Linked DNA regions of Arabidopsis thaliana. The protein of the gene in region 1 purifies or fractionates together with the protein of each later gene. This does not show direct contact. Each region holds a gene or a part of one and is shown in the gene's direction. Other genes may lie near its edges.

The links. Proteins that work in one complex are often made in the same cells at the same time.
Region 2: the proteins of HPA1 (region 1) and AT3G14390 fractionate together in Arabidopsis thaliana (co-fractionation; one large-scale study listed by BioGRID). This does not show direct contact.

Annotation. Positions count from the first base shown.
Region 1 is NC_003076.8:3,247,327-3,252,901, reverse strand, and holds HPA1 (histidinol phosphate aminotransferase 1), read left to right. Parts: upstream 1-1,937; 5' UTR 1,938-2,944; exon of another isoform or gene 2,945-3,031; 5' UTR 3,032-3,043; coding exon 3,044-3,277; exon of another isoform or gene 3,278-3,381; coding exon 3,382-3,465; exon of another isoform or gene 3,466-3,581; coding exon 3,582-3,736; intron 3,737-3,818; coding exon 3,819-3,916; intron 3,917-4,021; coding exon 4,022-4,130; intron 4,131-4,220; coding exon 4,221-4,378; intron 4,379-4,459; coding exon 4,460-4,875; 3' UTR 4,876-5,048; downstream 5,049-5,575. Other genes in the region: AT5G10336 (uncharacterized protein), read left to right, coding at 837-959.
Region 2 is NC_003074.8:4,805,080-4,809,963, forward strand, and holds AT3G14390 (Pyridoxal-dependent decarboxylase family protein), read left to right. Parts: upstream 1-1,590; 5' UTR 1,591-1,691; coding exon 1,692-2,179; intron 2,180-2,315; coding exon 2,316-2,490; intron 2,491-2,586; coding exon 2,587-2,736; intron 2,737-2,883; coding exon 2,884-3,045; intron 3,046-3,126; coding exon 3,127-3,312; intron 3,313-3,409; coding exon 3,410-3,532; intron 3,533-3,606; coding exon 3,607-3,696; intron 3,697-3,794; coding exon 3,795-3,875; 3' UTR 3,876-4,354; downstream 4,355-4,884. UniProt on the Arabidopsis thaliana protein: Specifically catalyzes the decarboxylation of meso-diaminopimelate (meso-DAP) to L-lysine.

The DNA of each region.
Region 1 (5,575 bases):
TCCTATAATCCATAACGTAGGTTTATCTTGGTTCAATTTTCAACTTTAATTTCTTATACATAAACCGACAACAATTTTTTTAGTAAAAGTTTTTTTTTTTTCATTCAAAGTGAGAAACAAAACATCTCAAATCTATTACAAAATATTTTTATATCATTTTTAGACTTTTGCTCATGCATAGTGCAGGTTAAGCACTTACTGCTTTAATAAATAAAAAAAACAAACTAGAATACTTAGAAAAATGTTGTCTTCTTACCTCCACTCCATAAATATAATATAATAGCTAAATGCCTTAAACCAGTTATAATGTAAAATAAATTTATTGACTTCCCCATTTGTTTAATATGTTCACGGATTGCCCCGGTTGTTAGCTTTCCAGGGAATCTAACTACCCTTCGATCCGATATCTCATCCGAGAATTATCTCCATGTTTCTGCAGATGCAATCTCGTTTGACATAGAATCCTTTCTTAAGAAGACTAGTCATCTTAGGGATCAATTCCCCCACAAGTCTCAACGATTCTCGAAACTAGTAGCACATCTATGGATTTTCCAGCGAGTCAGGTGTCCCTAGAAGCTGACCTCACTTCCATCAGAGCTGTCTATCGAATGTTATCCCTGCTTCTATCCAGAAGATGCGATCTTTAGAACTACGAATCCGTCTGAATAATCCAGCTCACCACGGGGCCGATTTCCCGACAAATCACAGGGAATCTCGTAAGGGTTAATACATCTACGGATCGCCCAGAGAGTCGTCTTTTCGGAGAAGTTGACCTCGCCTTAATCGAAGATATATGCTGAGATATAAACGTTTACCTCAAGCAAGTGCAACCAGTCATGAGACCCAACTCTATAAAACCAGTCAGCTTCGGGATCGTTTTCCTTGAAAATCCTGATGAACTAGGCAGTGATATACCTATCTACAGGTCGGCTTCTTTGCACTTGACACAATTTCCCTGACAAATCCGCAGCTGTCGGAACAGCCAACTTACGAATCAAACTCCAAGCGACCTGGAAAGAAACAAGATACAATCTACGCGACAACGGAAAGCTTCGAGTTTTATAGAGACCTATCTCATCTCTATAGGTGAATTCTTTCGATGAATATCGCTGATTTTCTACTGATAAGCCTCTAGGTCAGAGATTCAGTTGTCAAAACGGTTGACTTGGAAGAGAGTTTCCCGGCGAGTTAAAGAGAGATAGGAGTCAATCTACGTGTCGATTTGAAGCCCTGAGCTTTATCTTTCCAACGAATCTAACCTAGATCCAATCGAAGCAATCTTCCAAGCGATATTGGCGTTTCTTTCAAGCGCAGATTCGTCTCTATCCGACCAGCCGAACTCGGGCTCAATTTCCCAGTGATCTAGAGAGACTCAGGAGACGATCTACAGATCAATTTAAAGCCCTGAGGCTCCTCTTTTTAACAAGCCCGAGCTCACTTCGTTAGGGTCTGTTTTCTCGGAGATACTGCCGTTTATCTGCAGAAGACAGTGACAAAATACAGATCGATCTATATCCGATCTGTTGACCTCGGAATCAAATTCCCGGCGATCTAAAGGGCATCACGAGGCGATCTAAGTATCAACTGAGCCCCGAGGCTTCTTTCAATAGAGACCGACCTCATCCAATTCCGAGCTGTTTACTAAGCGTTATCACTTTCAATGAAACATATGACACCTGTCAAATCGCAGATTCGAACTGTGGGAGCAACTGGATTAGAAAGCAAACTCCCAACGATTCAGAAAACATCAAGAGCCCATCTTAATATCATCATGAAGCTCTGAGGCTTATCTTTCCAACAAGATCGATTTTGCTCCATTTGGTGCTGTCTTCCGAGAGTTATAGGTTTTTCTCTCGAGCATGCGTTGTTTATCGAGACACAGATCCGTCTACACCCGATCTGTCTGCTTTCAGATCGATTTCCCGGCGATCTAAAAGGAACCAGGAGCCGATCTGCACATCATTTTGAAGCTACAAGGCTTATCTTTCTAACGGATTCATCCTTGCCTCAATTGATTACGTTTAACAAGAGTTATTACTGTTTTTCTGCGACAAGCACGTCCTGGCTGTAGCCCAAAGATGCATGTCTGCGGCTATCAGATCAGCCACCTTTGTGACCGATTTTTACGTCCATCGTCGTTTCCAGGACGATTCCACCAACATTCTGTTACAGGAAAACCTGCTATTCATAAGAACAATCCAAATCTCTAATTATCATTCAAAACCAAACAATCAATCGATGTTCATAAAACACCAAATGATTCAGCTAGCTCTCGATGTGAGAGAAATCTAGCACTTACAAGGTTCTAGAGAATTCTGAAGATTACAGATTATTCGATAATGAAAGCATGAGCATAACATGTTGCTCTTATACAAAAAGGTAAAGAAAGTAAACGTTAACCACGTTAATAACGATCGCCGTTAACGTCCATTTGTATTGCCAGCTCGCCAGCTCACAACACGTACTTTGCTTAACATCCCTGACTTCACATTGCCAGCTCGCCAGATCACCAGCTCACCACGTGAATCCTGTATCACATTCCCATAGGCTTCACGTCTTCACCTCGTCACCGATGTGCAGATCGGCTCCTGGTTCCTTTTAGATCGCCGGGAAATCGATCTGACCTACTCTCACGTCTTCACCTCGTCAAGAGTAGACTTTTTTATTTAACACTACACTTGGAAGACTTTCTTACCTACTCTCACTATCGACCCGATTCTTCAGAACCGGGTTTTGGATTCAATTTCGGATAACCCCTAAATTGGTACGCCAATTCTCAGTCACTCAGAATAAAAAAAAGGCTCACCTTTGTCCACGAATCGCAAGTGAGTCATAGAAAAACCGAAGCTTTTGACTGATCTCAGTCACTTTAGTCTCCCTGCTCACGACCCTTCTCGTCTACTTAGGGTTATCTCCATTTGCCCCTCTTCCTGTCAACTTTCAGGTATTACTTGTCAATAAGATGTGAAATTGAGTATGTGCATCAGATGTTTCCTCTAGATTGAACTGATTCCACCTTTGATATGCGCAGACACGAAAACTGATGGGTGTGATCAATGTTCAGGGCTCTCCATCGTTCTCTATTCATTCTTCAGAGTCAAATCTTCGAAAGTCTCGAGCTTTGAAGAAACCCTTTTGCTCAATCCGGAATAGGGTTTATTGTGCTCAGTCTTCAAGTGCAGCTGTAGACGAATCCAAGAATATAACTATGGGAGACTCTTTTATCCGTCCACATTTGAGACAATTGGCTGCTTATCAGCCAATTTTACCCTTTGAGGTGATATTTAGATTGCATTGAATTTATTTTTTGACAATTATAGATGATTGGATTGGGTTGGATTGGATTTATCTTCTAAAATGTGTATGTTTGTTTGTAATTAGGTATTGTCTGCTCAATTAGGAAGAAAGCCTGAGGATATTGTCAAGTTAGATGCTAATGAGAACCCATATGGTCCTCCTCCAGAGGCAAGTCTATATCTTTCTTTCACTCATTCATAGATATGTTGATGACTGGAAAAAGGATAATTTTGTTAGTTAGTTAGTTGTCCTCTCTAACTTCAGGTTTCAGAAGCTCTGTGTAGGTTTTTGAAGCATTAGGCAATATGAAATTCCCTTACGTTTATCCTGATCCACAAAGTCGTAGACTTCGTGATGCACTGGCTCAAGACTCTGGTTTGGAGTCTGAATACATACTTGTAGGCTGTGGTGCTGACGAACTTATTGATTTGATCATGAGGTATGGCTTCAAGATTTGATTTTTCAGTCAATTGAGCTTCTACCAGAATCGTATTTTCTGACTAAAACTCTGTTTCTTGCAGATGCGTGTTAGATCCTGGGGAGAAGATTATAGATTGTCCTCCAACTTTCTCAATGTATGTGTTTGATGCGGCTGTGAATGGAGCAGGTGTCATTAAAGGTGAAAGATTTACGATTTTCATGTGTTTCATTCTCTTCGATTTTGCTTCTCTCTCTCTCTCTGAATGTATAGTCTTAAACATGTTGGTCTTTGTTTGTTTCACAGTTCCAAGAAACCCCGATTTCAGCTTGAATGTAGACCGCATCGCTGAAGTTGTAGAACTAGAAAAACCCAAATGCATATTCCTAACTTCTCCCAACAATCCAGATGGGAGGTAAAACACCACCACTCTAAACAACTCGAAAGGAAAAATTCTTTTTAGTAGTCCGTCATGATTATTAATCCGAGTTTCTCTTTGATACAGTATCATCAGCGAGGACGATCTGTTGAAGATTCTAGAAATGCCAATACTTGTTGTTCTAGATGAAGCTTACATCGAATTCTCAGGAGTTGAATCACGCATGAAATGGGTGAAGAAGTATGAAAACCTTATCGTTCTCCGCACATTTAGCAAACGAGCTGGTAAATTTTGGTTTATCACTCTATATAATCTAAACATTACAGATATAAAGTCTGCATCTAAGAATTCTGATGATATTTCAGGTTTAGCCGGGCTTCGAGTTGGATATGGAGCGTTTCCGTTGAGTATAATCGAATACCTGTGGAGAGCAAAGCAACCGTACAATGTCTCTGTTGCAGGGGAAGTAGCTGCTTTAGCAGCACTCTCAAACGGGAAATACTTGGAAGATGTGAGAGACGCCTTGGTACGGGAAAGAGAGAGACTGTTCGGGCTATTAAAAGAAGTTCCTTTCTTGAATCCATATCCGAGCTATTCGAATTTCATTCTCTGTGAGGTTACATCTGGAATGGATGCAAAGAAGCTGAAAGAGGATTTGGCGAAAATGGGTGTGATGGTTCGTCATTACAACAGTCAAGAGCTTAAAGGTTATGTTCGAGTTTCTGCTGGAAAGCCTGAACATACTGATGTTCTCATGGAGTGTCTTAAGCAATTTTATTGACTTCCCCATTTGTTTGGGAATTCTTAAAACAGCCACACAAAAATAAAATTGATTTTTTTTCCCTCCTTTTTTGTTTGTTTTCACTTGTTGGATTCAGTGTTTGACCAAAAAAAAAAGGATTCATTGTTTTTGTTTCAGTTAACAAGGAGAAGCTTTTGTTGTATTGTACTTTTTGGTTTGAAAATGGGCCTAAGTCCATATGTAAACTTGTTGATGAAGCCCATTAAAACTGAAACTTGACTAATTCGGGTCGGACTCAAATCAAAAACATACAGTATGTTGAAAAAGATGAAGTGAAGACAATGGTTGGTTCCTATAATCCATAACGTAGGTTTATCTTGGTTCAATTTTCAACTTTAATTTCTTATACATAAACCGACCAGCCGAACTCAGGCTCAATTTCCCAGATCGCCCCAAGAGTCAGCTTTCTAAAGAAGCCGACCTGTAGATAGGTATATCACTGCCTAGTTCATCAGGATTTTCAAGGAAAACGATCCCGAAGCTGACTGGTTTTATAGAGTTGGGTCTCATGACTGGTTGCACTTGCTTGAAGTAAACGTTTATATCTCAGCATATATCTTCGATTAAGGCGAGGTCAACTTCTCATTTTGTGAGAAAACAAATTGGAACAGTTTGTGTTTTGTTTTGTGATGTTGGAACAAATTGGAAGAATTGCCTCCAAGAAGTCAGAGTTTGAGAA
Region 2 (4,884 bases), on another chromosome or scaffold:
GCTGAAATTACCACGCAAATCTGAGGTTCGAATGGCAAAATAAAAAACCAATGTCATTTCCTTAATGTATTAAGGTCATTTAAATAAAATTGTACACTTTTTTCACCTGTAAGCGTTCCAAAGTGTAGAATGGATAACTAGAAGGGTCAAAGGTATAATATTAATAAGCGAACTCACTTTTTGCCCAAGTGATTTCACTTCTTACATTTGCTTGATATAGTTACCCAAAAGTGTATATATATTCCCTTATACAATTGTTCTATTTTCTGGATTATAAGGGGAATAAGAAAAAAGAAAAGAGAGAGTATATAATAATACTTTTATAAAGTGATGTTAGATTCTAATTTGTAACGAAAAGTTCAAAGTGAAAGAAAAAACGAAAAAGTTTTTCTGTTTTGTTTTATATCTATAGCCAAGAAAGTTTCTCAGATTTACAAGAAGTTAACTGAGAAAAACAAAAAAAAAACTTATGAAGCATGAAAGACTAATTAACGAGGTGATTAATTTTGAGACAAATTAAACATCGAATTAAAAGTAACATTTGGAGGGTTTATATGTTATATATGTGACATGATAAGTCCGATTCATGACTAATGTATATCTGGAATCTAACATGGAAGAATAGAGAACGAAGCAGAGCCAAGGTCAACTTGCCAGACACGAATCAACAGATTGTGAATGAGACCAAATCAATGGTCATAAACCGGTTGGGTTTAAACCGGCAAGTCATCCTTGGCTCAATTCCATTCGTTATTCCTTCATGCAAGACCCTCTGATACAACCAAAGACTCCCATTACAATATTCTTTCGATCACGAGCTACTTATTTTCAAATGTGTTACCTCTTTCGTGACTCTTGTGTTGTGTGGTAAAGCCTAGTCGAGATGTGTCGGTATATATAGGCATACATATACAAATGCGACAAAATAAGTATATTATATTGTTTAATTTCTATATTCCATTTCTATATGCATGGCTGGGATTTTTGACCAAAACCCTAATTCAAGAATAGAATCCAAAAGATGGGATCAAAGAATATAATCTAATGGGCTGACCACATTTTCCGATTTAATTCGCATAGTTAATATTCTTTCCACTACTTTATGCCGCAGAAATTTGTAATTAAGTAAGACAAAGAAATACAGATATAAGATGGTCGTAGAAACCAGTAGAGGAATTTCATTTTTCGTGGATAAGTGGAATATTAATAAGAGAATGGTCTTTACTCTTTACAGTGGGAAATGGGAATAGTAGCCCATTATAATTTCATCAGATTCTATATATGCATGTTTGTATAAGCTAAAATAAATACGTTTAAGCATTCTTCAAAAAAATTTACAAGTTCTAGAGACTCTCTTAACGTCGGCAATTTATATTCTACTTTACATGACACTTTCAGGAAAAGAAAACTATACTCACTAGCAGATCATTAAATTTTCTTTTTCTTTTTTTGAATGAACCTTAGTTGTGGTTTTTATTTTTGTTAGCTAGAAACTTCAGTGTTTTTTTTCCGCCAATGGTAGTGCTTTGATGATGGTCCGGCCCAATTCATAGAAGGCCTTGAAAATGGGCCAGACCAATTCAGAGACCCAACAAGCTCGACTGTATACACAAAATTCACAAAAACAGCTTTTGAGAAGTTTTCTTCTTCTTCACCTTATTTTCGGGTATCAAAGCCACAAAACCCTGAGAATGGCGGCAGCTACTCAATTTCTCTCCCAACCTTCGTCTCTCAATCCACACCAACTGAAGAACCAAACCTCACAACGCTCCAGAAGCATCCCTGTCTTGTCTCTTAAATCCACATTGAAGCCACTTAAACGCCTCTCCGTGAAAGCCGCCGTCGTTTCTCAAAACTCGTCCAAAACCGTGACGAAGTTCGATCACTGTTTCAAGAAATCATCAGATGGGTTTCTCTATTGTGAAGGAACTAAAGTTGAGGATATCATGGAGTCAGTGGAGAGAAGACCCTTTTACTTATATAGCAAACCTCAGATCACTAGAAACCTCGAGGCTTATAAAGAAGCATTGGAAGGAGTGAGCTCTGTGATTGGTTACGCTATCAAAGCTAATAACAATCTTAAAATTTTGGAGCATTTGAGAAGTTTAGGCTGTGGTGCTGTGCTCGTTAGTGGAAATGAGCTTAGACTTGCTCTTCGTGCTGGTTTCGATCCCACAAAGTAACATTCTTTATTTACCCATTATTGCCCTGTATCTGATTTAGAGAGCTTTAACTTCATCCCTATAACAAAGTGTTTGACTTGTTGATGGAATCAGTATTGATATGAATGGTATGATTTGGTGTAAAATGAATAGGTGCATTTTCAATGGAAATGGCAAGTCTTTGGAAGATTTAGTTCTAGCTGCTCAAGAAGGTGTTTTCGTTAATGTCGATAGTGAGTTTGACTTGAATAACATTGTGGAAGCTTCAAGAATTTCTGGTAAGCAGGTCAATGTACTGCTGCGTATCAATCCTGATGTTGATCCTCAGGTATGGTTAAAATTTACTTTAAACTTTAGCATCATGTCTAACATAATTGGTCTTGGATATTAGTTAGTGAGCTTTTCTGTTTTATACATTTTTCAGGTGCATCCATATGTTGCTACTGGGAACAAGAACTCAAAGTTTGGTATCAGGAACGAGAAGCTTCAATGGTTTCTGGATCAGGTCAAGGCACATCCCAAAGAGCTGAAGCTTGTTGGAGCTCATTGCCATCTAGGCTCTACCATTACTAAGGTAACACTCTGATTATAGTTGCTTAAAGTTGTATTTTGATGTAATCAGATGAATATGGATTGCTCTCTGTTTAGTGTTTGCTTTTGGTCCGTCCTTAGATCTCAACTCTTGAGCTCTACGTATTTGCGTATGTTCTGTTTATTCCAGGTGGATATATTCAGAGATGCGGCAGTTCTCATGATAGAATACATTGACGAGATCCGGCGTCAAGGTTTTGAAGTTAGTTACTTGAACATTGGTGGTGGTTTAGGGATTGATTATTACCATGCCGGCGCTGTCCTTCCCACACCCATGGATCTCATCAACACTGTAAGAACAACATCTCTTTCGTTCATTTGATCTCAAAAGTAGTGGGATGGTAGAATTGTTACAATCCTTGATGTGTTCCAGGTAAGAGAGCTTGTTCTTTCACGAGACCTGAATCTAATAATCGAGCCAGGGAGATCTCTGATTGCAAACACTTGCTGTTTCGTCAACCATGTAACTGGTGTGAAGACGAATGGAACTAAGAACTTCATAGTCATTGATGGAAGTATGGCTGAGCTTATCCGTCCCAGTCTTTATGATGCTTATCAGGTAAAAACAAATATACTTCTCACAACAGCATCTGCAGATTTTGGTCCCCTTTGAGCTATAGCTAAACATTCTCTTGTTCATGTTTTTAACTCAAAAGCACATTGAGTTGGTCTCTCCTCCACCGGCTGAAGCAGAGGTTACCAAATTCGACGTAGTGGGTCCTGTCTGTGAATCTGCTGATTTCCTGGGCAAAGACAGAGAGCTTCCCACTCCTCCACAGGTATGATAAGGATATGATTCTGTTTGGAAGCTCAGGTAATGTGGAATCTTATGAGTTTATTGTATTCATTACAGGGAGCTGGTCTGGTGGTTCATGACGCTGGTGCATACTGTATGAGCATGGCTTCCACTTACAATCTCAAGATGCGTCCTCCGGAATACTGGGTACCAACACATTTTCTTGTTCCAGGAGAATCAAGATCCCGAGAGAAATTGTCATGAATTTGAACTTATTTTCTTCAATGTGTTGTTTGTTTTTGCAGGTTGAAGAAGATGGGTCGATCACTAAGATAAGGCATGCTGAGACATTCGATGACCATTTGCGTTTCTTTGAAGGTCTATGAACTCTTAGATTTACTCATCATTGTTGCTTTTTTGATTGAATTGTATGATTATTCGGAATCAGGACCATAATGATATTGCTGTTTTAGATTTTCACATTATGTGCTTTGATTCAAAGTCAATGAAGTGATCATATGAATAAGAAAACGTTCACAAGTCAAGACAGAAAATAAGAGGTGATTCTGATTATAAGAGGAGTCTTTCAAGCCAAAGTCGTCCATTGTCCAAACACATAAACACTCATCTAAGCTTCTTCCCATAGCTATAAGAAGATTCTTTCAAGCTTTTTGTTCACAAGTTTGCTTGCAGAACTAAATGAATCAATAACTACAACTACTATGTCATTAATCAAGAAACTAAAAGAAGATAGTTCATAGTTCACAGGACAAGTAAAGTGAATTTGGTTTATCATGTAGTGACTTACCGCCACAAGTCTAATTTCATCATGGGTTATAAGGAAGATTCCAAAATAAACCTTTTAATGTGTAAATGAGACGGTGGCTGGAAACTTGAAGTAGCAAAATGGTCCCATGCGACGCCGTATTGGCGCGGCCACCTCTCTCCGCCATATAATAGAGGTGGTCCTTTAAGTTTTATTTTCTTTCTGTGGTTTCTATGTTACCGTACGTATCAATTTTTAAAAGCAGCTATACATGGTACGACGTCTAACAACTATGTTACCTGAATTGTCCCATCGGGCCATTTAATATGTGGATGGTTGCATTTTTCTTCTTCTAAGTGACTAGTTTGTACTTGGTAAAGTGTTTACGCTAACATCCATTTGTAAGTTTGATTCAACAAATTAACTTCAACAGTGAAATGAACATGTCTAATTTGGAAAAGTTTGATTTCAAACTGAATATGTTAAAAATTTCTCAGCATAAATAAGATTAATATCCAAATGTTAATTAATTATTTTATTTTCAATTGGATGATCATAAAACTTGCAAAATAATTAATCAGAAAAAGAAGAAGCAAATTTTTTAATTATACTTGAACAATGAAAACCTA